Ovis aries: one gene and its partners. The protein of the gene in region 1 interacts with the protein of each later gene in a pairwise test. Links are inferred from orthologs where the notes say so. Each region holds a gene or a part of one and is shown on either strand. Other genes may lie near its edges. The genes, in order: ATXN1, TRIM38, FDPS, PEPD, DNAJA3, PSMC3 and RBFOX2.

Region 1 (3,500 bases):
CGGGCCCTACACCGGCTTCATCCCTTCCCAGCTGATCTCGCCCACGGCCAGCCCGGTCACCAGCGCGGTGGCCTCGGCGGTGGGCGCTGCCACGCCTGCCCAGCGCTCCCAGCTGGAGGCCTATAGCAGCCTGCTGGCCGACATGGGCGGGCTGAGCCGAGCCTCCGGACACAAGGCTGAGCCACCGCCACCGCCGCCACCGCCGCAGCACCTAGGCCGGACTGCGGGGCTCCTCCCCCCGGGGTCCCCACCGCCCCCCCAGCAGAGCCAGTACGTGCGCATCTCCAGCTCGCCACAGAACGCCGCACGCCCGGCCTCGCCGCCGACCCTCCCCGTCCACCTGCACACGCACCCGACCATGATCCCACACACACTCACCCTGGGGCCCTCCCCGCAGGTGGTCGTGCAGTACACCGACTCCGGCAGCCACTTTGTCACCCGCGAGGCCACCAAGAAGGCCGAGAGCAGCCGGCTGCAGCAGGCCATACAAGCCAAGGAGATGCTGAACGGGGAGGTGGAGAAGGGCCGCCGGTACGGGGCGCCCCCTGCGGCCGACCTGGGCCTGGTGAAGGCGGCCGGCAAGGCGGTGCCCCACCCCTACGAGTCCAGGCACGTGGTGGTCCACCCCGGCCCCGCCGACTACAGTGTCCGCGACGCGTCGGGGGTGCGGGCCTCCGTGATGGTCCTGCCCAACAGCAGCACCCCCGCCGCCGACCTCGAGGGGCAGCAGGTCACCCACCGGGAGAACTCACCGTCCGCCCTCAACGACAAGAGCGGCCTGCACTTGGGGAAGCCCGGGCACCGCTCCTACGCACTGTCCCCGCAGCAGGCGCTGGGCCCCGAAGGCGTGAAGGCCGTCGCCACGCTGTCCCCGCATACGGTCATCCAGACCACACATAGCGCCTCGGAGGCCCTCCCGGTCGGGCTGCCGGCCACGGCCTTCTACGCGGGCACGCAGCCGCCGGTCATCGGCTACCTGAGCGGCCAGCAGCAAGCGATCACCTACGCCGGCGGCCTGCCCCCGCACCTGGTCATCCCGGGCACCCAGCCCCTGCTCATCCCCGTGGGCAGCGCCGACCTGGAGGGGTCGGGCGCCGCCTCGGCCATCGTCACGTCGTCGCCCCAGTTTGCTGCAGTGCCTCACACGTTCGTCACCACCGCCCTGGCCAAGAGCGAGAACTTCGGCCCTGAAGCCCTGGTCAGCCAGGCCGCCTACCCGGCCATGGTGCAGGCCCAGATCCACTTGCCCGTGGCGCAGTCCGTGGCCTCCCCCGCCGCCGCCGCGCCCCCCACGCTGCCGCCCTACTTCATGAAAGGCTCCATCATCCAGTTGGCCAACGGGGAGCTGAAGAAAGTGGAGGACCTGAAGACAGAGGACTTCATCCAGAGCGCGGAGATCAGCACCGACCTGAAGATCGACTCCAGCACGGTGGAGAGGATCGCGGACAGCCACAGCCCCGGCGTCGCCGTGATCCAGTTTGCCGTTGGGGATCACCGAGCGCAGGTAACATTGTGGCCGCATCACGGGGGTAGGGGGACACCGCGCCGTGCCGCCGCCCTTACCTCCTGGCACCGTGACCTGTCTGCGGCTGTGGGAGTGATTGAGGGCTTTCTTTCACTTTCACTTTGTACGTAAAGGTTAGGCTTCTCACGTTCCTCCAACCACCATTCTCTAAGAGAATTAAGCCCTAATGCACCTGGAAGCATCCTCTGTTTGTAATGAATTAATTTCTCTGCTTCTCCAGTGGGGGCTGGTCAGGTACCATGCTTGGGACAGTTAAGAAAATCACCACTCGGGTTGTTTTGCTGATGTTGTCCTGTGGTTCGCATGAGTAACCCTGATTAAGAAAAGCCATTTTCCACCCCCACCCCAGGAAAAGACAGTGCTGCTTCAGGGGAGAATGTTAGTTGCCCAGAGTTGCCATATCCCATTACAACATCAGTGTTTTGTTACTGTTTTTATTTATTTATTTTGGCTGTGCTGGGTCTTAGTTGCAGCACTCAATCTGATCTTTAGTCGTGGCATGTGAACTCTTAGTTGCAGTGTGTGGGATCTAGCTCCCTGACCAGGGGGTCGAACTCAGGCCGCCTGTATCAGGAGCTTGGAGTCTTAGGCGCTGGACCACCAGGGAAGTCCCAACATCCATGTTTTAACATGTAGGTTTTGTTATCATTTAGGTATGGTGAGGCCAACAGAGGAGAATACATCTGGTTATACTCAGATCCCAAGGAGAGGGGATATGCCCGGCCACGTGGGCTGCCATGCGGAAGAAGGCCAGGGGCTGCTACAAGGCACTGGGAGCCAGGAGAATACATGAACAAGAGCCTTTGCTATCATTTCAGTGGGAAGGAGTGCGTGAGGCAAGGTAGCAAGCGTAGGTAGGCTAGTTGGAATCATTTCAGCAGGCTCTGGGTACAGGAGCTGTCCCTAGGTGTCTGATAGTGGCCCAGAGAGTGAAAGTCCCATTCACTGAGGAGGAAGCTGAGGTGTGGGTGTTTGCTTTACACGTGAAGAACAGTATCCCCAGCAGGGGAGCTGTTGGCTATGTCTAGGAATTAGCTAACACAGGGAGGGACGGTCCCTCCAGTGTCAGCAAGACCCCAAGATGTCAGAGCATCAGATACAGAGAATAAAAGGCATGGGTCATATAATCTGGAAGGTCAAGGCTGTCCCATGTGATCTCCTGGACTTCTGATAAATAGGAACCCCCAAGGGCCAGATGCAGCCAAGCTGAGTCATGTTAAAACTAGAACCGGGATCAGCTCTTAATTTCCATGAGTTCCTTCAGTCCACTCTTTTCCAGCTTCTTAAATCACTTGAATGCCTTGATTCCACCCATGTGTTATGGAAACAGTAGTTTCACTGCCCAGCTTGCTTGAAGTTAGGTTTGGCCCCAAGGCAGGGAACTTCCCAGGCTATAGAGCCTCAGTGCCTCTGGGAATGGCATATGATAGCACCTTCTTCAGTTTGAAATGAGTTGAAAAATGGTCATGGCGTAGCTGGTATTTGGGACAGTCAAAGATAAACAAACTAGTTAATGGTTTGAATTGTTCTTAGAATATTTTTTAAAAGATCAAGTGAGGTGGGGGAGTCTGATTTTCCAAAGCGTCTTCCAGGACTTCTTGTGAATGTCCGGATGTGGGATCTTGCGCAATATCAGAGGGCCTGCGTTGCCAGGAGCTTTTAGCCCCGAAGACTTTTCTTTTTAATGGTGAGATGTCGCTGTAAACTTTGGTGAGGCCCAAGAAAAATTTCTCAGGGTTCTGATGCAAGAAAACAAAAACAAAACAAAAATCAGGATATTTGGAAAAGGGCATCATTATGTAGAACTCCCTGCCCACATCTAAGTTTCTGTTCCCTCTCCGCGTCCTACGTGGATTAGGAGTGGATGGATCCTCATTGACAAAAGAATGAGCTGACTTACTAGCAAAGTTGTCTTTTAACAGACCCCAAGTGAAGCCTGGGAAATAAACAAGAAGAAAAAGTAAATTTTTTTTTT
Region 2 (4,142 bases), about 9.1 Mb from region 1:
TCTTGCCTGGAGAATTCCATGGACAGAGGAGCCTGATGGGCTACAGTCCACAGGTTCTCAAAGAGTAGGACACGACTGACGACTGAACGACTAACACGTCACACTTATGCAAACAGTAAGCATAAAAAGAATGGAGTGTCTATATTAATAAAAAATAGAGTTTAAGACAGAGAGCATTTCCAGAGATAAAGAGTACCGTTCTGTACTGATAAAAGGGTCCGTTTTTTCATCAAGAAAACGTAATCATAAATGTGTATGAGCTTAATGACAAGCCTTCAAAATACATGATGCAAAAATGGAAAGAATTAAAGGGAAAAATAAGCAATTCTATAATCCTAGTTGGAGATTTTAATACCTTTCTTTCAGTAGTGATATAATAACTAGATAAAACATCTAAAAAGTCACATAAGACTGAAAAACCCTATCTATCACCTTGAACAAATTGGTATTTAAAGAACATTATACTGAATTATACTGAATATCTGCATCCACATTCTTTTCAAGTACATATGGTTATAGTCATAATGATAGACATGTTCTAGGCCACTGTACAAGTCAATAAAGTTAGAGGAATTTAAATCAGATAGCATATGTTGTCTTGGGAATTCCCTGGCAGTCCAGCAGTTAGGATTCCAGTGCTTTCACTGCCAGGGCCTGGGTTCCAACCCTGGTCAGGGAACTAAGATCACATAAGCCCCCAATTTGTGGAAATTAAGCAACATGCTTCTAAATTAATCTACCATGTAAAAATCATAATAAAAATTATAATATATTTGAACTATAGAATAAGGCATATATAACTTTGTGAGAGGCAACTAAACAGTGCCTACAGGGAAATGTATAGCTTAAACTGTTTACATTAGAAAATAAAGATAGTCTAAAATCAAAGCCCAGATCCTGCAAAGGTGATATGTCTAAAAGAAGACACCTCCACTACCACCAATAAAACTGAGATCCCAAAGGGTGATAAAGGTGAACTAGAAGTAAACCCATTTCACCTCCTGGAAACTGAAAGAGCTCTGAGAACTCTGGTGCTGAGGAGGGTGCAAAGAAAAGAAAAAGAAAGAGAGTAATAGACCCTGGTAAGTTGTAACAAGAGGCCAATTTTTATACATATTCGGGATGAAATTTCATATCACTTGGGTTATCAAAACAAAATTATTAGTTTGTTCCTTCTTTTTATTGCTGTAAAAGAAAAATATTTTTCCTACCATCTTCCCTCCCTTTCAGTACAAGCTGAGTGCAAAAGATACGGGCCATTTCACCAGTTTCCTCCCCGGATCTTATAGGGCCCCGCCTTCTGAAGTAGTTTCACTTTTGTTTGTAGTTAACTTCCTCACCCAGACCTCAGGAACCAGCAGCTACGGAGCGAACTAGCGCGAGTATGTGACTGTCTGCTGTGTGGAGAAGGGAGTGGAAAAGGTCAGACCCATGTTTTCTCATGTTTTCTCCACGGAGGGATAGGAGATGTGTGTTGGAGGAGGGGATGGGGTAGCCGGGTCTTTGTTTCATGGCTCTCACACAGGGTCTGCTTTCTTTTTCGCCAGACTCCATGTTAAATCTCTGAAGTACAGAAGGTGAGGTGAGTGAAGGTCCAGGACAGGCGCCCTGGGGGCTCAGAGGAGGGGAGGTCCTCCTTCCCTAGGAGCACAGCACCAGTGGCAGAGAGGAGCCTAGTGTATCGCTTGGGGGAGATAACCTGCCAAAGAACAGAAATCTCCAGAAGAAATTCTCTTTGGATCCAAGAGACTGGTCCTGGTTATTAGAGGGACATAGCCTATCCAGTAACTTTAGTTGAATCCTTGCTTTTGATTCTGGCCCTGTCAGTTCAAAGGAAAGGCCACTCTCAACTTCCTTCATCCTCTGCTGCCCTCCCCGACAAACTCCCAGGAATGAGGAAGCAGGGAACTGAGCCAGGTTCCCAAAGCAGTCTAAGCTGTGGGTGAGAGGGTCGACTCCTTTGTCTATTGGTTGTCAGGTCCCTAGGGGTTAAGCCCTCAGGGTTGAGAGGCCCTGCTTTCCCATCTGCTTCTCACCTTCCCCTATCCTGGATTCTGCAAACTCCCTGTGTTCCAGTCACTCTGAACTTCTCCTGAGACACAGGTCCTGCTTGGAGAAGAGAGTCACCTCCCTAGCTGTCAAGGAGTTCTGCTCCCCTTCTCTTCCCAGCTCTTTTTTCCTCAGGTCAGGGAGCGGGGAAAAGAACTTGATTTCTTTACTTGTTCTTCTGGTTGTCTTTTTTGCTTTCATTATCATCCAGTTAGGTTTCCACTAGGGACTTTATTATGGTGTCTTTTGTTCTTTGTGGGGCAGGAGTGAGGGTTTAATTAGAGTCAAATTTGATTGTCTCAATCAAATCCTTAATAGACCACCCCTTTACCTAAGTGTTACTACCACTTACAAAGAAACAATTCTGGTACTAATTATTCTTGATGTTCATTAGAGGGAGAAAAACTTTAACAGTCCCTCACTGAGTTCTCTCTCTTGCTGCAGCTTTGGTTGAGGAAGTCAGCTTGGTTTCTCTCCCTCTCTCAGTGAAAACTTACAATGATGGAATGTTCTCCATCGGGGCTTTCATATAGCTACCAATCACCTGGAGCTATTAAGCAATTTAAATATGGCTAAGAGGTGCGAGAAATAGAATTTTAAATTCTATTTAATTGTAATTAAAGTGGCCACATGTAATAGTCATGACCATATTCCACAACACAGCTACATTCAATGCATCGTCTAAATTCCAACCTATTTCTTCTCTCTCTAGAGCAGACTCCATGACCTGTTGAAACCAGTGGCAACCAGTGCATTGCACAGAGACTCAGGAGAGGTAAAGTTCCATCACTGTGGGAAAATTCTGATTACTTCATCTCTGTGTCTAGATTCAATATTGGAGCTTTACAGGAGAAACCATGGCCTCAAAGAAGATGAGGGAGGAAGCCACCTGCTCCATCTGCCTGCACCTGATGACTAACGCAGTGAGCATCAGCTGTGGACACAGCTACTGCCACGCGTGCATAGTGAGCTTCTTTGAGAACCTCTACCAGATGCAACCATGGCTGAAGACATTCTCCTGTCCCCAGTGTCGAGCACCATTTAACATGGAGAGCCTCCGGCCCAACAAGCAGCTGGGAAATCTCATCGAAGTCATCAAGGAGATGGACCAGGAAATGTCATGTGAGGAACATGGAGAGAAGCTCCACCTGTTCTGTGAAGACGAGGGCCAGCTTATCTGCTGGCTCTGTGATCGTGGAGCCCAGCACAAAGGGCATGCCACAGCTCTGGTGGAAGAAGCATGCCAAGGCTACAGGGTGAGTGGTGGCCCACAGGGCTTCGGCAAGTACTTGGCCTCATATTGCCCCCTGAGACCTGAGATTCTTTGGCCTGAAACCCAAGATTAGGATCCTGAAATCCTATATCCTGTCATTCATCTGAAAAGTAGAATGATGGGTCCTCACTAAATCAAGTCCCAAAGGTTACTTTTGTCCCTATCCTTTCTGGCTCTGATGAACTCCTCCCTGCTTTAGAATGCCATGTGCACACCTGCATGTTTTATTGCTTCATACCATGTGTGTAATTTGAGAAACAACAATATGCAAGACCATGGGAAAGAGTCTGAAAACACAGGGGTCAAAGACACACCACCTTAGATGTCTTACAGTCTAATAGGAAAGACAAATCCGCAAACAGGCTGCCTGGAGTCCCCTGATTTGGATGGTGGAGCAGAGCCCTAAGGGGTGTGGAGTAGTAACTAAGGAATCTTCCCAAGAATGACTCTTGAAGAATACATAAAAATTAACCAAATATATTAATAGAAGTATGGAGAAGGGAGAGGACATTCCAGACAGAGGGGACCACATGTGCAAAAGCACAGCCATGGGAGCATACCTGACTTGCTATGACTAGGCCGGGGGGTATGCAGGGGAGGCAGGTGATGTTACGGGAATGAAAATCAGGTCTGCATCCTAGCCCAGAGTAGTCCTGGCCATGGGGGGATTTTCATTTGCAGAGTGAAAGATCGGGCTAACAATGAAAAGAACATTCTGGTACTGATACAATGAAAGGAATACTAAGTAGTAAAATTCAGATTATTCCTGTGAGAAGTGGAAAGAGATCAGTTCTAAGCCAGATTCAGGAAAGAGTGTGAG
Region 3 (4,194 bases), on another chromosome or scaffold:
GAGTACAGGTGAAACACGCACCTTCTGGTACAAGGGCCTCCCCACATCTGTTAACCCCTCGTCACTAAGTCTGGCCACAGCACACTAGATGCACAGAAACACAACCGAGAAGCCGAGTTTCAGGCCCATCCCTTCCCTCCCGTCCCACCCCATCCCACCCAGGGCACCCCCACTCTAGTAAACCTCGTCTTTGCCTGCTGCTCCCCACCCTTCTCACCAGTTCCACACACCAGCCCACAGTCAGGGCCCGCTGGAGACTGTCAGGATCTTGTTTCCCGGGCTCCACAAGCTTCCGGAACGTTACCACCACCGTCAAACCCCGATTGTACTTGCCTCCGATGGCATTGTACTCCAGGACCTGGGGGAATAGCAGAGGGACAAGGAAGGCATCAGGGTCTGCGGAGCAGCTATTCTGAGATTTCTCCTTGTTTTCTCCCACCGGAGACCAGGGAACCTAACTTTATCCTCCTCAATCCCAACCCCTCCTCCAGGCAGCCCCTGAACTACTATGCTCCTGGCTTCTTCCAAGTCGTGGGGCAGAGCAGGAAGTTCCCCAGTCCCCAGGCTCTCTCTGCGTTGTCTTCTTCAGAACACTGAAAGGCTCCATACTGGAGATTAAGATCTGCTCCCAAACCCAGACAGGGCTTGAACCCGGGGAAAACTCTTGTGCATGCCAAGAGAGCGGCTAGCTCAGGTCTCTCCCACCCCCATTCCTCCCTTCTCAGCCACCTCCTCTGCGACCCCCCTCCACGGTTCAGCCTATCTGCAATAAAAAGCCTCTCACTTAACTCAGACAAGCGCCCTCCTCCCCAGGTTAGCCAGAGGACAGCTTGGAGGGGACTCAGGCTGGGGGACCATCCGCTACTCCTTCAGTGGCATTGCCTCCTGCTGGGGCTTCTCATTTTGCCTTCTGCTGCCCTGTTATCAACCAGATGCAATTCACTGGGAAGACTTCCCTTTTTAATCTCCATCCAAGTACAGACTTCCTTTTCCTTAGTTTCCCTCAGACAAATGAGACGGCATTACAAAAAGAATCACTAGATATTCCAAAAGAATCAGGCAACGTAGGTATCTCAACAAATAGTTCCTGCCCTAGAGGAGGGGTTTCTGATGGAACACTACCTTTACTCAGCCCCACTTCAGACTGCTTCCTCCCTTCCTCCCAGGTCCCTGCCAAGATAGCCCCTTATGATTTCTGGACACCTAATTCCCTGTCTTAACAAAATCAAACACTTACCCAGATCAAAGCCTTCACCCCCAGGGCGATCCACCCCTATGCAAAGCAGTATGTCTGGCCTACCAGAACCACAAAGCTGGACTGATTGGACCTGCCCAGGCTCCGACCCCTCCAGAATGAACCCAGAGTCTCTCAGATAAAAGTCTGTTCCCACACCTATCAAAAGTCACCCCAGAGCCATAGAGAGACCCCACGCATGTGCAGAGATTGCAAAGGTTCACCCTCTCGAGTTGTAAATCCCTCACCTCCTTGAGTCGGGTAATGGCATCTCCTGTCTCTGGGTGCCCAATGTCCTCCTCAGTCAGCACCTTGACAATCTGGGAGAAGTGCTGGATGAAATCCTGCCTTTCTTGGGCGAACGCGTCCGATTTCTGGTCTCCATTCATTCTGAGGGAGGAGTAAAATGCTCTGACAAGAGGGAGGACAAGTCAGAAACCTAATCAGCTGCTCCCCTCCCCAAGGCCCCTCACCCCTGCCAGACTCACCGAGGCTCCTCTGTCCACGCTTGCCGCCAGCAGCGGGCACTGTGCCAGGCCCCCAGGACTGGGCACCCGTGCCCCAGGGTGGGTCGCCGTAGGGGACCCAGCAACCTGTCCCGGGGCACCCAGCACGGGGCTGGCAGCAATAAGACCCCCACAGATCTCAGCCAGCGGGACAGGGGCAGCATGGGGGGTGGCACAGAGAGGGGGCATTGAGCACTCCCTGCAGGGGCAAGCACCAGAGGCAGATGCACGCTGTCAGCTCCCCAAGTCACCCTCCAACCTTCCACCTCTGTACCCAGAATGCCCCACTCTCTTCTGGGCTAAGCTGGAGGGCACTTAAAGAAACTCAGGGAACAAAAAGTACGGCTGGGTAACCAAGACTCAGCTGATCATACTTAAAATAAGAAGGCTAGGACTCAAAGCCATGTAACTTTACCCGGCTGAGAAACCGTCAACGCCTCCACAAAGGAGCCTCTGGAATTGCTATACTCTTGCTTGCTTCCTCCAAATTCTGGAGCACAGACTGAAGAATCCAGAGTAAAGGACCTCAGGACCGGGGGCTGGGAGGATCTTTAAATCACCCTCTTTTATAGAGGCCAAACTGAGGCTCTAGGAGGTAGGAGGTACCCGGGGAATGGCAGCGCCAAATCTAGAACCCAAGTCTCCCTTGGTAGGCAGGGAGAGGGGAGCGCAGGCTTTGAGGCGTGAACGCAGAACCCCTGGGTACTATGGACATGTAGTCTGGGGCTCTGGGACTGGACCTCACAGAGCCAGGACTGTGCTGACAGCCTCGGAGCAACACTGGGTGGGTGGGTGAGTAGGGTTCGCAGCGGAAGAGCAAAGCAGGGTGCAGTTATACTGGGATTCCAGGAAAGCACATGGCAGAGTTCGGGAGTTTCTGCACATCCACGGTGTCAGCTAGTCCGTCCCACCAACTCCCAAAACGGGGGAACACCGACGCAACAGACTGGACCTCCTGTGCCTTGAAGTTGCGCTACAGAGTTAAGACCGAGTTTCTAGCCCCTGCCTCCGGTCCCAGCCCTCGACCTCTCTCACCTGTTCCTGGATGCTGGTTGCAGATCCTGATTGTTGGAGGGGTACTCCTAAAAGCTGGACCGCGCGGCGCTCGGGTCGCTGGATCTAGTAGTTCTCGATCTCCTTTCACTGCAGGCAGCAATGCTTCACTGGACTACAATTCCCGAAATGCCACAGGAGGGGCAACGATTACGCGATCTAGCGCGGGCTGGCTGGGCGGGGACGAGCCACATTGATTGGCTACTTCCCCTCGTATGAGCATGAGGCCCTGTAGCCAATAGCCAATGGAAGGGCTGACCCCCGGGACCTGAAGCTAACAGGGCTGGAGTGGGCGGAAGATGGGGTGAAGTTGCAGGGAGTCGAACAGGTTTGGAATTCCTTGAACTCAGGCTCTCAACAGTCGTTGTTTACTACTCAAATTGTCATTATTTTCCTGTGCAGTTGAGTGGCACGTTACTAAAACCCCAGGGGGGCCATCATGGCTACTTAACTGGTTGTCTAACTTGGGCCAGTCGTGTAACTTCTGAGCCTCAGTTGACTTCTTTGAAAGGATAACACCGTGATATAAAGTATATAAAGTGCTTTAAGTGCTCAACAAAGCGAAGACTCAAGGAGAAACCAGAACCGTTATCCCTACACACAGGTACACACACACAGTGTACCCACCCACCGTGGATAACACACACACATACACACTTACAGTTTACCCACCCACCATGAATAACACACACACACACAGTTCACCCACCCACCATGGGTAACACACACACACACACAGTTTACCCACCCACCATGGGTAACACAAACACACACACAGTTTACCCACCCACCATGGGTAACACACACACACAAAGTTTACACACCCACCATGGGTAACACACACACCCCCATATACATACACCCTGTACACACACACTTCTTACACACACGTACCCTTCAGCCACACACACACACACACCTTTTACCAGCAACCATGGGTACCACATACATACAAGTTTACCCACACATCATGGGTAACACACACACACACCCTGTACACACACACCCCTTAAACACACATACACACCTTACACACACACACCCCTTACACACACCGCTTACCCACCCACCATGGGTAACACACACACAGTTCACCCACCATGGGTACACACACACACCCCATATACATACACCCTGTACACACACACTCCTTACACACACATACCCTTCACACACACACACACACAGTTCACCCACCCACCTTGGGTAACACACACATCCCCCATATACATACACCCTGTACACACACATACCCTTCACACACACACACACACACGTTTTACCAGCCACCATAGGTACCACACACATACAAGTTTACCCACATATCATGGGTAACACACACACCCCTTAAACACACATACACACCTTACACACACACACCCCTTACACATACACACCCCC
Region 4 (3,500 bases), on another chromosome or scaffold:
CAGACCCAGCTCTCTGGGCTTGTGGGGTTTCCGTTCTAGGAGACGGAGGTGGACTTTGCCTGTGAGCACCGTCTCTCACTGCAGCCCCAGGCAGTGCCCCCTCTCTCTGGGCTGTCCCTGCCCTCCTGGACCTCCGCTGGCCAGAGAGCCTGCAGGGCCTCCCTCCACACAGGTCACATGTCCCTGCCTAACTCCTGCCCCCTGGCCCCGACCTTGCTGGCCGCCAGCCCACTCGCTGGGACTGCCCTTCCTCCATTTAGTCATTCACACAGCGCTGTTTTGGGCTTCCCAGGTGACGCCAGTGATAAAAAAAAAAAACCCACCTGCCAATGCAGGAGATGTAACAGACCTGGGCTCGATCCCTGGGTGTGGAAGATCCCCTGGAGGAGGGCATGGCAACCCTTCTCCAGTATTCTTGCTTGGAGAATCCCATGGACAGAGGAGCCCGGTGGGCTACAGTCCACGGGGTCGCAAAGAGTCGGACACGACTGAGGTGACTCAGCACGCATGCAGCACTGTTTTAGGGGCCTGGAAGGAGGCGGTCCCCACCCTCATGGAGCTTACATCTTACCCGGGGAGACAACCAGCAAGTAAACATATACTGTTAGACAGTGATGCGTGCTCTGGAGAGGTGGGAAGAGAGCAGTGGATAGGTTTGGGTGGGGTTGTTGGAAAAGCTTCGGGGAAGAGGGGGTATTTCTGCAGAGGCCTGGATGAAGTGAGAGCATGAACCTGGTCAGCACTGGGAGAGGGTGTTCCTTACGGGGAACAGAGGTCCCAGGTGGGAGGGTTCTTGGGGTTTAGGGAAGAGTATGATGCCTGTGTGGCCCACCTCAGCACCTTGTGGCTGGAAGTCTGCACTGGGGTGGCCAGACATGGGGAACGACTCTCCAGAGGATTTTGTTGGACAGAGAGAGAAGTAGATGCTGGTGGGTGTGGGGGTCAAGGGGCGTGTTTTTACCTATTTTAAAGATGGGTGAGGTTCCTGTGCATCTGAATGCTGAGAATGGTCCCCAGAGGGGAAAATTGATGCTGGAGCAATTCAGGGGATTGGGAGGGTGGGGAGAAACATGAGGGGTAGCGCAGGTTACGCCCAGGTGGAGGGGACACCTCAGCCCAAAGGCCGCAACTTCCAGGTCCACCTGGTCATGGTTCTCCCTCAGTCATTTGGCACATACAGGCCTGGTTCGGCTCAGTGCCTGGTGCTGAGTGCAGCACGTGTGTGTGTGTGTGTGTTTGTGTTGAGGACAGGAGAGTGTCCCAGCTCAGGTGAGAAACAGCCCGGGCTGCCGGGTCTGTGACCTACAGAGAAGATGCAGCCTGCAGACACGTGGGCAGGGCTCTAGTGTCGTCTGGGCCAAATCTCACATGGATGGGAAGCTCCTTGAGGGCAGGAACTGGAGGGTAGGGGATGTGTCTGGGCACCGTTATAGCATTGCCCTCTGTGGGCTCATCTGTCTACTGGTTAAACAGACCCAGCTGCCCCTCATCCCGCTTGTCTGGCGCTCAGGGCCAGGAGGGGAGGGTGTGGTTGACAGCGCCTGTGGTCCACCAGCAGCCTGGCCAGGAGCTGTTTCCGGGTCACACGCAGGTTGAGCTTGGATCAGCCTGCTGCGTACTAATGGGGGTCCGGTGCCAGGCTGGGCCCTGCAGCCGCCCCGGACTGTGCATAGGGCACGTGCCTGGTGGTGCCAACAGAAGCCTGCTCATGTCTTTGCAGACCCTCATTTTGGCTGGGGAACGAAACTCTGAAGGTGCCGCTGGCACTCTTCGCACTGAACAGGCAGCGCTTGTGTGAGCGGCTGCGGAAGAACCCAGCGGTGCAGGCGGGCTCTGTGGTGGTGCTGCAGGGCGGCGAGGAGACGCAGCGCTACTGCACCGACACCGGGGTGCTCTTCCGTCAGGTGAGCCCTGCTGGCAGCTTCCCGCCTCTCTGGGCGTGCACTGGGCCTCCTGTGGGCCTTCTGTCCTCCTCCAGCATCAGGCCCGGTGGGTCTGGGCAACTCTGCCCTCCTGAGGGACTCGGAGGTGATTCTCTGAAGGCAGGCCAAGGCTGAGGTCCCCAAGGGGGCCCCCACTCGAGAGGGCAGAGCTGTCACCAGTCAGCCTCAGCTCTTTCAGATCAGAGTACAGGGGGATGATGTTCCTGGGGAACAAGCAGGCAAGGCTTCCTGGAGGAGGCAGTATCGGGTGTGGATCCTGAAGGTCAGCATGCATTCTGACAGGTGGAGCTAGGGTTGGGTGTTCTAGGTGGGGGAATGGTATCCACAGGATTGGACCCCAGAGGTGGGGCTGGGCAGCCTTCCCTGGGCCGGGAGAGGTGCTGATGGGGAGGGCTGAGTTCCTGCTACCAGATTTTCCCACAGCAAGAATGGACTGGCGCTGCAGAGGTCCTGGGAGGAGGAGGCGTGGGAGCAGGGTCTTAGCAGGAGTCCAGCGCCCCGGCATTCATCCCAGCTTTGCCAGTGCTGATGCCTTGGGTTTGGTTTCCGCCCCTGGGAAGCGATCCAGGGGCTCCGCAAGGTTCTAGAGCCCTGGGGGATGGCTGTGGGGGCCAAGCTGTAGAAAGCCAGCCTGGACGTGATGGCCTCTGGCATCACTCAGTTCCTGGGGACAGGAACAGGACAGTCATCAGAGGCTCACCCAGGGGGCCCTAGGCTGGCCCAACTTTACAGATGAGGAAACAGACTCAGAAGGAAATGCCAGAGGGGGAGCTGGGATTAATTAGAACCCATCTGCTGACTCCAAGTCTCCCAGAGCAGGGGTCTGACGCACTGGGAACTCCCTGGCGCCAGGCAAGGCCTAGAGGACATGTCGAGCATCCAGGTCAGGGAGCAAGCAGGGGAATGGGAAGGGAGCTGAGCATGGAGAGCGGGCAGCAAGGCGTGGCCTCCGCAGCTAGACAGTGTCCACCCTGCGGGGCACAGGCCTGGATCCACTGCTGGGAGCTATGGCGCACACAGCATCTTCCATGGGAAGTGTCTCCTACTGGAGGGCTTCCCTCAGCCTCTTCATTCCTGTCGTCCCCGGGTCGCTGGAGATGTGGAGGTCTAAATAAGTTTTCTCTGCCTCGTCCTGATGCTTCCTGAGGTTTCCATAGTCTGCGGTTTAAAAACCAATCTCCTAAATTCAGCTGTTGGCTCCCTTACTGATGTTTTATGCAAGATTAATTTTAGAAGAGCGCCTCCTCCACTTCATACCTTTACAACGATATTTTAGCTCCGTGTTTAATGCTAAACACTGGAGTCATCAGCTGCCCCGGGGGTGGGAGAAGGAAGGAAGAAGTCTTAAATGGAGGAATCCGCTTCTAAGCAGATGCCTGGCCTGGGCGTCTTAAGTCAAGGTGGCACCTTGCCTGCCTGCAGGCAGTGGGGGTGGCAGAGAGGTGGGGAGGGACGGGGATGCGGGTAGGGCGTTGCCAGATCTGTGATGCTCGTGGGCACCCGTGTCTTAACCTGTCCCGTCTGGGACCTGAGGGATGTGGCAGGGGAGGTGGGGGT
Region 5 (3,500 bases), on another chromosome or scaffold:
CCAGGAGGAAACCTTTGTGTTAGAGCTGCTCAGCTCTCCAGTGTACCCAGGACAGCCAAGTTAGGTTTGTGTTTGGATTTTTAATATTTTAATCTGTTGTTCTGAATTCAGAAAGTACAGAGGAGTGTGCAGTGAGAAGACCTCTCTTACCCATCCATCCCCTCCCCGCTGTAGCAATCAGCATTTCCAGCTTAGTGTCTGCTCTTCCAAAACTAATTTATACAGCAGATATATCTACTTATCTATCCAGTCATTTCCCTCTTTTTACACAGATGGTAGTCTAATCAGATTTACTCTTTGGCATCTCTCACAAAGGACCCCAAGTTCTTAAGAATTGTTATTTCTGTTGAGAGATTTGTTGCAGTTGAAAAACATATACACATCTCAGAGTTGAAGAGATAGTTTTCTTTCTTTCCCTTTCCCAAAACTCACTTTGCTGTTTTGTAATAAACTTTTGATCAGAATTGAAAACTGAACACAGTTCATGGAGTGTATGTTCTTAATTCTGGCTGTGTGTGTTTTGCTTTTAGGTTGTGTTTATTGAGGTGTAGTTGACATTAGTATCAGGTGTACAATATAATGATTCAGCATTTGTATACACTATGAAATGATCGTCATCATAAGTCTAGTTAGAGATGATTTAGTCTTAAATCTTGTTTTAAGAATTGCTGTCAGTTGTGAAGTCTGACAACTGCTGCAAAGGAGGTGAGCTGTGACTGGTGTCTGGGGTTCAGTTTTAGTGATCATCTTGTGTCCATACTAATTGACCATTTCCTCCCTTAGCTTGCCAAGAAATATCACCCAGACACGAATAAGGATGATCCCAAAGCCAAGGAGAAGTTCTCCCAGCTGGCAGAGGCCTATGAGGTAACGCGGCCCCCCAGTGTGTGCAGTCCCTGTCATTCGGCTGTGTGCGTGGGTCAGAGCGTGCTGCACTGGAAGCCTGATGCATGAGAAGGTTCAGTGGGAAGGCCGTGTCCCCCTCCAGACCACCTTGTTGAAGAGGGAAAAAAAAAAATTTGTAGGTCCAAAATGCTCACATGAGATCTCACTAGGGATCTCAACAAAGAACAGAACCCAGTAATCTGTATTCCCAGTCCCAGTCACTGGGACTTTAGCTGGGTCTGGGACCTTCTTGTCAGATTAACCAGTTCCTTGCCTGTTTGGTGACCTCCCCCTCGGAGGGCTGGTGGGATGGTGGATGTTGTAAAAGCAGAAACCACCACTGCCCTGGAGGAGTGTCGAATGTCATCTGAGAGCAGAGGGTGTGAAACAGCAGCTGAATAAGGGCAGAGTTACATGAGTGTGGACCTCCTTCTCAGACTCAGCCGTGCTGAAGGGGTTGGGGGTGTGTAGGGTGTCGTATATCTGCTGTGTGTGTGTGTCCATGCACATGTGTGTGCATCCCCCGCCCTGCCCCTGACCGTTTGAGGGTAAGTCACAGATGTGTTCTGTCTCTTCCTAAGTGCTTCTGTGTGTGTTCTCTAAGGGCAGGCTGTTCACATAGCCGCGGTACAGTTGACAGGATCAAGACGTTTAATGTCGATAGGCCGCCACCACTGTCTGTACTTGGTGTCCGTGCCCTGGGCCCCAGGAGCCTCGGGGGCACTAACTGCTGGGCTTTTCTCGGCAGGTCCTGAGCGATGAAGTGAAGAGGAAGCAGTACGACACCTACGGCTCCGCTGGCTTCGACCCCGGGGCCGGCAGCTCTGGGCAGAGCTACTGGAAAGGAGGTCCCACAGTTGACCCAGAGGAGCTCTTCAGGAAGATCTTTGGGGAGTTCTCATCCTCCTCTTTTGGTGATTTCCAGAGTGTGTTCAATCAGCCTCAGGAGGTAAGCCCCTCATTTTGAAGAATTGTTCAAATTTCAGCGGCTAAGTGTGACACAAACAGATTTTTTACCAGTTTCTCTTTCTCAAAGAAAAAAGATAAAGTAGCTTAAATGGGGTGATTGGGAGGCAGCCATCTTTGTAGCAGGTAGTTCCAGTATTTGAAAAACCATTAATAATGTGTACATTCAGTTCTCCTGTATTCTTACAGTTGCTTAATCAGGGCAGCCCCGTGGCTCTGAGAGTCCATAGTTAGAGTAGTTAGTTTATGTAGAGCCCGTCTCATTATTCTAGGAGACTCGGTCCATAGGGAGGCACTGCCAGTCCTGCTTCTTCCATGTTTATGTCTTGTTTCAGGCATTATCAGAAGAGAACCCAAGGGTGGGGGGAAGCGTTTTACAATGTAAGTTATGATTGTGGATCATTTGAACTGTTAGGACCACGTGCTAATATTATTTGTGAACATTTTCAGCTTGTTGAAAAGCCCATTTTCCTTCACACAACAGGTATCTGTTGAAAATCGTGAGGAGTAGAGCAGAATCAGTTGAGTCCCATCTGTTCTTGACTTGACAGAGTACAAGTTATAAAGTAAAAAGTGGCTAGGGGAACAGATGAATTGGTGGAGCCATGAATAAGATTTTTAGGACAGTGAAAATACTTTGCATGATTCTATGAGGAAGCTGTGTGTGTATTATACACTTGTTCAGACCCATAGAATAGCCAGTACCAGGAGTGAACCCTAATGTAAACTGTGGGCTCTGGTCATGCTGTGTCAATGTAGGTTCATCCTTGATTAAAAAAAAATGTATCATTCTGGTGAGTGATGTTGATTACATGGTAGGCAGGCTGTGCACGTGTGGGGGCAAAGGTATAAGAGAAATCTCTACCTCCCTCTCAGTTTTTTAAACTTAAAACTGCTTTAAAAAATAGAGTCTTTAAAAGAAACAGAAACTGTAAACTCTCAGCCAGCGCTCTCCCTTACTTTCAGAGCAATAACAGTGGTCCCTTGATTTCTCTAGTACATCATGGAGTTGACGTTCAATCAAGCTGCCAAGGGCGTCAACAAGGAGTTCACCGTGAACATCACTGACACCTGTGAGCGGTGTGATGGCAAAGGGAACGAGCCAGGCACCAAAGTTCAGCACTGCCACTACTGCGGTGGCTCCGGCATGGTGAGCCTGGTGGGCCCGCCTCCCCCTGGGGCTCCTGTCTCTGCCGCCTCCCTGTGCTTCCCCACCATTCCTCTTCTCTGTGTGCCAGTGTACCTAGGGCTTTGAGAGCTCTTTAATAGGTGGGACTCTGTGATCTAGAACCTTCCACATTGTCCCAGGAGTGCTCTGTACAGAAGGAGCAAGGAAATTCTGCTGTCTCCTCTGAAAATACGTTTTGGAGTATGTTGGTAATTTAAAATTGGGGGAGGGGAACTTAAATTTTGCTTGAAGTATAATCTTTTTTTCTTTTTCTTTTTGGTAAGTTTTAGATATAATTGAAACTTGTAAGACTAGTATAAATAACCACTCCCTTATTCCTTTTACCAAGCCTCAACAGTTGTTAACATTTTATCCCATTTGGTTTGTCATTTATAGTGTATATTTTCTAAGAGCAAGAACGGTCTTTTATGTAACTACAGTATGTTCTCAAAATCAAGAAACTTAATGTCCAAACAATTCT
Region 6 (4,069 bases), on another chromosome or scaffold:
AAAATCACTGCAGATGGTGACTGCAGCCATGAAATTAAAAGACACTTACTCCTTGGAAGAAAAGTTATGACCAACCTAGACAGCATATTAAAAAGCAGAGACATTACTTTGCCTAAAAAGGTCCGTCTAGTTAAGGCTATTGTTTTTCCAGTGGTCATGTATGGATGTGGGAGTTGGGCTGTGAAGAAAGCTGAGCACCAAAGTATTGATGCTTTTGAACTGTGGTGTTGGAGAAGACTCTTGAGAGTCCCTTGGACTGCAAGGAGATCCAACCAGTCCATTCTGACGGAGACAAGTCCTGGGTATTCATTGGAGGGACTGATGCTGAGGCTGAAACTCCAATACTTTGGCCACCTCATGTGAAGTGTTGACTCATTGGAAAAGACCCTGATGCTGGGAGGGATTAGGGGTAGGAGAAGGGGACAACAGAGGATGAGATGGCTGGATGGCATCACCAACTCGATGCACATGAGTTTGGGTGAACTCTGGGAGTTGGTGATGGACAGGGAGGCCTGACGTGCTGTGATGATTCATGGGGTTGCAAAGGGTCAGACACGACTGAGCAACTGAACTGAGGTTGGTCATAACTTTTCTTCTAAGGAGCAAGGTTAAGAACTGATATTGCAGTGTAAGTCCCAAGCCTGGATCCCTATTCTTGGGTTTCCCTTGTGGCTCTGTCAGTAAAGAATCCGCCTGCTGGGTGGGTAGACCTGGGCTTGATCCCTGGGTTGGGAAGATCCCCTGGAGGAGGAAATGGCAACTCACTCCAGTATTCTTGCCTGGAGAATCCCCATGGACGGAGGAGCCTGGCGGGCTGCAGTGCACGGTGTCATAAAGAGTCGGACATGATTGAGCGACTAAGCACAGCACCCAAGCCTGGAAGAAACCCAGCTCAAGACAGTCAGGAAGAAGGAGTTCCCTCTATCTCTGAGGGTATTCAGCCTTTTGGACCTATTCAGGCCTTGAACTGATTGGATGAGGCCCACTTATTTTGGGGAATCCCCTAATTCCTAACTAGGCCAATTCTGCAGTTGAAAGACCTACCCCCTCCACCCCGCCTCCTTCAAAAGCGCCCTATGACCCGCCTGATTAGGACTACATTTCCCAAGGGCCCCGGGGACACCGGGTCGTGTCTCCCTCCCCTTTCTGTTTCTTCTCCCCGCCAGGTCCCGCCCCTCTGGGCGTGCCAGCCAATGGCGCATCCTCCTCTCGGGGCGGCACTAACAGGACGAGGGCGGGAACGTTTCAGCAGCCGCGGGGGCGGGCCCTGTGGCCTGCGCTTCATCTTTTGAATCCGGGCAGCAGATTCGCCGCCGCAACGCGGCCCAAGCTAACTTTTTTCACGAGTCAGGACTCGTTGACGGAGTCTCACTAGTCAAGAGCAGACGTAAAGAGAGGCAATATTGTCATATTAATCTCTCCCCGCGGCTGCCGCGCGGTGCAGTCTTCAGGCTGCTCTCGCAGATGGTGAATCTGCTGCCGAAACTCGAGAGGCCGGTGACTCGGCAGGAGAAGATGGCGACCGTGTGGGACGAGGCTGAGGTGCGCGCTGGGGAAGCTGGCGGTTCTGGAGCCCGGGCCACGGGGAGACCCCGCTGGCGGGAGGGGAGGCGGTGGCTGCGGGGGTCAAGGTCGAGCCCGGTCCCGGGATTGGGGCCGCTTGGTATGCAGTCGCGACTCCGTTCTGGTTTTTTTTTTTTTGCGGATAGTGGGTTAATTGAGGCAAAGAGTTGGCTAACTCACAGTGCTGAGTTAACTGCCTTGAATTTAAGAAAAAAAATTTTATTTTTTTCACAGCAAGATGGAATCGGGGAGGAAGTTCTCAAGATGTCCACAGAAGAGATCATCCAGCGCACACGGCTGCTGGACAGTGAAATCAAGGTGGGCAGTGAAGCCCCTCTCCCTGCCCGCGTCCCCCCGCACACGGCAGGCCCTGGTGCTCTCACGTCGTCCCCAGCCTCCCTCCGAGAGTGTGGGGACCGCGGTTTCCTCCTCAGACCAGAAAAAGAGAAAACTAAGTTTTAAAAGGGAGGGGGAGAGGGCCGGGGTGGGAGAGCAGGCCTGAGAGAAGGAATTGGCTGACTGCTGTTCCCAGCTTGGTCTTTCCAGTATTCCTCTTGAGAGTCTGTCTTTTAAGAAACCCCCACTTTACAGATGAGCAAACTGAGGCTAAAAGAGGTGTTTTTGTTGTTGTTGTTTTGTGTTTTACTGTGGTGAGATATGGAGCCTGTAATGAAAGGCAGAACCTGAAGCCCGTGTGTGCTCAACTCAAAGTCTGGCTTTTTCCCTTTAGTACAACTGCTTACCCTGGAGGTTTCCCGACGGGCCTCCTGTTTCGACCTTTGCTGGTTGTGGACAGTCAGGCTGAGCATTCAGAGAGCCTTTGAGCTGAGTGAAGGGGTGCAGGAGGGTTCCTCTGGCCGCCTGGATAAGGTGCTCCAATTAAGTGGCCCTCAGATAAGCTGAGGTAAGGCTGAATATTTCCTTCCATTCACCCTCATCCCAGATCATGAAGAGTGAAGTGTTGCGAGTCACCCACGAACTCCAGGCCATGAAGGACAAGATCAAAGAGAACAGCGAGAAGATCAAAGTGAACAAGACCCTGCCGTACCTGGTCTCCAACGTCATCGAGGTGTGTGTGTATGTGGAGGGGAAGAGGGGTCAGTGGGGCTTGGAGGCAGCCTGCCATTGGGGAAAGGGTGGGTGGGCCTCTTGAGGCCTAAATTGCATGTAGGATCTAAACCTCTTAGGTTCTCCTCCCCACTGTAAGTTTTCAGGGGAATATACAGGCCTGAAAAGGCATTGGAAGCTTTGTGTTTCTTTTTCTACTGGGTATTTTTCCTCGGGGGATAGATGAGCTCTGTGCAGGGAAGCAGCACCTGAGCAGAGATCACACTAATCTTCCGATTTATTAACCGTACCTTTGCTGGGCTCGGGGCTAGGCTGAGGAGTGAGGTAGGGATGGTGAGCCCTGGGAGTGTTGAGGTTGTCTAGGCCCCAGAAGTGCTGGGCTCTGCAGAGTACAGGGGGGGCTGGGCTCAGGGCTAGGCTGAGGAGTGAGGTAGGGATGGTGAGCCCTGGGAGTGTTGAGGTTGTCTAGGCCCCAGAAGTGCTGGGCTCTGCAGAGTACAGGGGGGCTGAGCAAGGCCTCTCGATCTGAGCGTCTTCCTCTCCCAGCTCCTAGATGTTGATCCCAACGACCAAGAGGAAGATGGTGCAAACATCGATCTAGACTCCCAGAGGAAGGGCAAGTGTGCGGTCATCAAAACCTCCACACGGCAGGTGGGGCTGGCTCAAGAGGGGAGTGCCGAGGCTTGGGGGGTGGGACAGGACTCGGGGACCTGCCTGAGGGCAGCGACTGAGGCTGCACCTGGAATCCTTCTGCAGACCTATTTCCTGCCTGTGATTGGCTTGGTGGATGCCGAAAAGCTGAAGCCGGGAGACTTGGTGGTGAGTGGTGTCCCTGAGCCCAGGCGGGCCTTTTCCAGCCAGGTTTCTCCCACTGCTGAGCCGAGCCCCTGGCCCCGGCTTAGGTCACTGTGGGTCCTGAACGTTTGCAGAGCTGCCTGCCCTTTGACTCTTGTGTTGCCCAGTCCTGTGGCTCTCCTTTCACTCTGGACACCTGTCCCCCAGTCACTTAGGTAGGCCTTGCGCTGGGACAGAGCTGAGGCTTTCATGCTGTGTCCCCAGGGTGTGAACAAAGACTCCTATCTGATCCTGGAGACCCTGCCCACCGAGTACGACTCGCGGGTGAAGGCCATGGAGGTGGACGAGAGACCCACGGAGCAGTACAGTGACATCGGGGGCCTGGATAAGCAGATCCAGGAGGTGAGGGAGTCCCGGCGCCTCGGTGGCCCAGCGCTGCTCCTCCCGTGCCTCTTACCCTCGTAGCCTCTAGGGAGGCAGGGAAGTGGCCATGCAACAGTTTGGAAGACTGAGCTCTGGAGGGTTTGAACAACTTGCTCAGGATCTCAGACGGTTAGGGCCAGAGCCAGGACCGGAGCTCAGGCTCCGGTTCTTAGACCGTCCTTCTGCCCCGTCCTGCTGTTCTGGGAGTCCACCGCCAACC
Region 7 (3,500 bases), on another chromosome or scaffold:
TGCGTTGGAGAAGGAAATGGCAACCCACTCCAGTGTTCTTACCTGGAGAATTCCAGGGACTGGGGTGCCTGGTGGGCTGCCGTCTATGGGGTCGCACAGAGTCGGACACGACTGAAGCAGCTTAGCAGTGACACAATGTTACAATGTTATAAAAGAATTAAACCAAAGGGCCAATTTTTCAGAAAAGTAAAATGGCTTTATTTATTTATAAAAATTTTATAAAGTGATAAAATTCAAGAAATATTCATTAAGATTTTTCATGTAGAATGCTACTCTGTCAGTGGGCAATAGAACATTTCTCTCTCTTTTTTTTTAACCACTTACCATATTCCTATAAATATAAAAAAGGAAATGTAGAAATTAAAGTGACATCAAACATAATGTTGTTTAGAAATACTTAAAATGTTTACACTAATGTTCTGTAGTGGTCTTGTATTCTTTAGCTTAAAAGTCTGATTAATGTAAATATGCTTCTTATAAAATTAAAATTTCAGAAGACATGCACCAAAGTTAGGAACATACCTTGAATTTTATCATTGCATATCTCTCCTTGGTGACTTGGTTAAATAAATTCCAGTGAAATCTCAATGGGAAATCGCAATGAAAGATTTCCATTTACCCAGAATACCATTAGCATGCTATAAATGAACCTGGAGTTCAGAGGTCCAGGTCAGATTTTAATTCAGTCAAAGGATACTGTTTTATAATAAAACAGCTAGAGTAATAAACAATGTCAAGATGATATAGAAGACAGCGCATCACAGTGTGATACCAAATTACATATATTGTGCCTTTCTCCCTTCTTCTAAACAAGGACTAGGTCATTTAGCCGTTCTGTGAGAGACAGTGTACAAAACCCCCCGGATTTATTTGTATTTCTTTTTCCTTCTCTCATTCCCTCTCCATCTTCCTTCCTTCCTCCCTCCCAATTTTTTTCTCACCTCCTCTTTCCCCTGCTACCTCTCCCTCTGCCAAATCTTCATTATCCCTTCACTGTGCTAGTCCTGCTTAAAGAGGGTCAGGTCCAAAAATATCATCACCCTCTCATGTAAACACCCACCGGCATCCTAAAAAGAAGATGGTACCAGGCAAAAACGAATCCAGAGCATCTGAAGCCCTCCTTTACCTTCTGTTCCTCATGTAGTCTTAAACATTTGCTCACTGTCCTCTCTTCCATTTCAGGTTGGAAATTAAGCCCAGTAGTTGGAGCTGTATATGGCCCTGAGTTGTATGCAGGTAGTATTTAAGTTAATTTTTCCATTTGTGCTATTTACATATATATTTATTTATATGTATATATGAATCTATTATTTTTCACTTTCCTACTCCTTGGTAATCTTTTTGCACCTTTTCATTTCCTAAATACACTTAGCATCCAGCTTCCAAGCAGATGTGTCTCTAGGCAACGACGCAGCCGTGCCCCTGTCAGGAAGAGGGGGCATCAACACTTACATTCCTTTAATCAGTAAGTAGCCTATGTTGACCTGGCTTGGAGTTTGAGAGTTTGACTGTTGTGAGTAAACAGCGAGGTATTGGTCTTTTTGTACCCCCAAATACACGTAACTGAAAAGGAGGCATTCACGAGAGAGTTAAATACTGTCATTAATGCCCTGTCCTGTGCTAGAATCTTTTTGATCAAATGTTAAGATGGCCATAAAGCACAAATAGTCGGAAAAGGTAGAAGAGAATGAGGGCATGTAAAGAAAATTTTAGTTTTGCACTTTGGTAATGAAGCAAACAAAGAAGGGACTATTGGTAGAACATGTACATGCTATCTGCAAGTCAGCTCTGGGCCCTTGAGTAGAATACCACTCAAACACTGCTCCAGTTTTATTGATTATTCTCAGCTCTGTTGGTACCTCTAAAGTCATTTTGACCTGAGCTATTTAGCTCCAGCAAGAGATATAATTAAACAGAGTTCAGTGGATACGGAATCAATGTCCCTGCATGCTTTGCAGAGGATAGCACACTTAAAACAGGTCCTTAGAGAATGTCTGCCTCTTTACAGGACACAGGGCTGCAGAGGAGAGGCAGTTTCCTTCTCACCTCTCATTTCTGGATTGAAACATGTTAGATAAAGAGTAAGGTGGACTCATGACGTGTCTGAAGACTATTTAGTGTGCCTTGGAATGTGGTGGCATGTCAAAGCACAAAAGGATATGCTTATGAAAAATAATTATTTAAATTGATGTAATAACATCTGGAAATAAGATTAATAATCAGTCAGTGAAAGAGTTTATATCAAACTTAAACTGGCTGTAGAAATGAAAAGTCTCGTCTCCATTATGGCAGCAGTTCTCAAGTTTCTTGACCTGTTTCTCATCAGCTTGCATTGCAAGGCCAAAATTGGGAAGGAATAAAGAAAACTCATGATTTGTGATAAGTGAGGCATGGTGTCAATGAGTTATGGCATATCGCATATTTCCATTTCTTTTTGAGAAAAGTTGTGATGTGGAGGTACCTTTTCATCTCTCCTGTAATTGTTGTAAAGCAGGTTGTGATGTTACACGTGCTGCTGAATGCAAGTTGACATTTCTGTCATATTTTGGGTCTCCCTTTAGTTCCTGGCTTCCCTTACCCAACTGCAGCCACCACGGCGGCCGCTTTCAGAGGAGCCCACCTGAGGGGCAGAGGGCGGACGGTATATGGCGCAGTCCGAGCGGTACCTCCAGCAGCCATTCCCGCCTATCCAGGGTAAGCAGTAGATTCCCAAATAAGCAACTGGATAAAACCAGAATACCATGGCCCTCTTATAACTTCTGGGTTGTTGCCCTGCCGCATAGTAGAGACTCTTTGAATATTTGCAAATTAACAGATTAGATGGCAAGAACCATACCATTGTCAGAATGTAACAGAATATCAATGCATTATATAAATCTTCATCTTGGCCACCTTAAGCCCTCACAGTAGTGGCTTAAGACAGTAGCCAGAACTGTCTTGTGTTCACTAGCAGTGTGTTGGCATGGAGTTCACTCAGCATCGCACGAATTTGGATTAACACTCCTGCAGAGAACCAAACTAGGAGCTGAAGATTGTAGTGCAAGACTGCATCTGCTGGGCTCACCCCTCACCACCACCGTTGCTGGGGCTGAGGCTCTCACATGTGCCCTCCCTTGTGGTTTCACTGCCTGGGTGGTGAGCAGCAGAGCTAGTTACCCACAATGGATTTGCTTTCTTTGTAGGAGACGGATTAAAAGAGGTTAATTCAAAGATGAGCCAAGTCCAATTGAATCAAGGGAGAAAGGGAGAAGTAGGAAGAATTAAACTACAGTTGGCTTCTGAATGATGGTAAAACAACTAATGGAGCTGAGCATCCTTCACCTTTTGATTTTTGTATGGAGGGTGTCTCATGCAGTGGAATGATTCCATAGCAACAAATAAATCCTTTGTTACTGAATGGGGGAGAAGGAGTGAAGATGGCAGATTTTGATTTCCGTTGTTTCTCAAGGTCAGCCTACAATGTATATTTTTATATAAAAAGTGGACTTTTATAAGTTAGT

What was found.
Region 2: the proteins of ATXN1 (region 1) and TRIM38 interact in binary tests that used the Homo sapiens proteins (3 or more experiments, as listed by UniProt). The link is inferred for Ovis aries from reciprocal best matches to the Homo sapiens genes ATXN1 and TRIM38.
Region 3: the proteins of ATXN1 (region 1) and FDPS interact in binary tests that used the Homo sapiens proteins (3 or more experiments, as listed by UniProt). The link is inferred for Ovis aries from reciprocal best matches to the Homo sapiens genes ATXN1 and FDPS.
Region 4: the proteins of ATXN1 (region 1) and PEPD interact in binary tests that used the Homo sapiens proteins (3 or more experiments, as listed by UniProt). The link is inferred for Ovis aries from reciprocal best matches to the Homo sapiens genes ATXN1 and PEPD.
Region 5: the proteins of ATXN1 (region 1) and DNAJA3 interact in binary tests that used the Homo sapiens proteins (3 or more experiments, as listed by UniProt). The link is inferred for Ovis aries from reciprocal best matches to the Homo sapiens genes ATXN1 and DNAJA3.
Region 6: the proteins of ATXN1 (region 1) and PSMC3 interact in binary tests that used the Homo sapiens proteins (3 or more experiments, as listed by UniProt). The link is inferred for Ovis aries from reciprocal best matches to the Homo sapiens genes ATXN1 and PSMC3.
Region 7: the proteins of ATXN1 (region 1) and RBFOX2 interact in binary tests that used the Homo sapiens proteins (3 or more experiments, as listed by UniProt). The link is inferred for Ovis aries from reciprocal best matches to the Homo sapiens genes ATXN1 and RBFOX2.

The regions. Positions count from the first base shown.
Region 1 is NC_056073.1:40,000,263-40,003,762, forward strand, and holds part of ATXN1 (ataxin-1), read left to right. Parts: coding exon 1-1,504; intron 1,505-3,500. UniProt on the Homo sapiens protein: Chromatin-binding factor that repress Notch signaling in the absence of Notch intracellular domain by acting as a CBF1 corepressor. Binds to the HEY promoter and might assist, along with NCOR2, RBPJ-mediated repression. Binds RNA in vitro.
Region 2 is NC_056073.1:30,926,785-30,930,926, reverse strand, and holds the start of TRIM38 (E3 ubiquitin-protein ligase TRIM38), read left to right. Parts: upstream 1-1,342; 5' UTR 1,343-1,422; intron 1,423-1,547; 5' UTR 1,548-1,577; exon of another isoform or gene 1,578-1,582; intron 1,583-2,761; 5' UTR 2,762-2,906; coding exon 2,907-3,305; intron 3,306-4,142. UniProt on the Homo sapiens protein: E3 ubiquitin-protein and E3 SUMO-protein ligase that acts as a regulator of innate immunity. Acts as a negative regulator of type I interferon IFN-beta production by catalyzing 'Lys-48'-linked polyubiquitination of AZI2/NAP1, leading to its degradation.
Region 3 is NC_056054.1:105,483,580-105,487,773, reverse strand, and holds the start of FDPS (farnesyl pyrophosphate synthase), read right to left. Parts: upstream 2,801-4,194; 5' UTR 1,905-2,800; coding exon 1,723-1,904; intron 1,646-1,722; coding exon 1,483-1,645; intron 359-1,482; coding exon 218-358; intron 1-217. UniProt on the Homo sapiens protein: Key enzyme in isoprenoid biosynthesis which catalyzes the formation of farnesyl diphosphate (FPP), a precursor for several classes of essential metabolites including sterols, dolichols, carotenoids, and ubiquinones.
Region 4 is NC_056067.1:43,416,383-43,419,882, reverse strand, and holds part of PEPD (xaa-Pro dipeptidase), read left to right. Parts: intron 1-1,720; coding exon 1,721-1,904; intron 1,905-3,500. UniProt on the Homo sapiens protein: Dipeptidase that catalyzes the hydrolysis of dipeptides with a prolyl (Xaa-Pro) or hydroxyprolyl residue in the C-terminal position.
Region 5 is NC_056077.1:4,155,522-4,159,021, forward strand, and holds part of DNAJA3 (dnaJ homolog subfamily A member 3, mitochondrial), read left to right. Parts: intron 1-150; coding exon of another isoform or gene 151-158; intron 159-783; coding exon 784-867; intron 868-1,633; coding exon 1,634-1,834; intron 1,835-2,848; coding exon 2,849-3,001; intron 3,002-3,500. Other genes in the region: small ribosomal subunit protein uS10-like, read right to left, coding at 151-158. UniProt on the Homo sapiens protein: Modulates apoptotic signal transduction or effector structures within the mitochondrial matrix. Affect cytochrome C release from the mitochondria and caspase 3 activation, but not caspase 8 activation.
Region 6 is NC_056068.1:76,180,656-76,184,724, reverse strand, and holds the start of PSMC3 (26S proteasome regulatory subunit 6A), read left to right. Parts: upstream 1-1,269; 5' UTR 1,270-1,464; coding exon 1,465-1,542; intron 1,543-1,797; coding exon 1,798-1,881; intron 1,882-2,506; coding exon 2,507-2,632; intron 2,633-3,177; coding exon 3,178-3,282; intron 3,283-3,387; coding exon 3,388-3,450; intron 3,451-3,690; coding exon 3,691-3,828; intron 3,829-4,069.
Region 7 is NC_056056.1:179,532,036-179,535,535, reverse strand, and holds part of RBFOX2 (RNA binding protein fox-1 homolog 2), read left to right. Parts: intron 1-1,182; coding exon 1,183-1,236; intron 1,237-1,372; coding exon 1,373-1,467; intron 1,468-2,551; coding exon 2,552-2,694; intron 2,695-3,182; exon of another isoform or gene 3,183-3,288; intron 3,289-3,500. UniProt on the Homo sapiens protein: RNA-binding protein that regulates alternative splicing events by binding to 5'-UGCAUGU-3' elements. Prevents binding of U2AF2 to the 3'-splice site.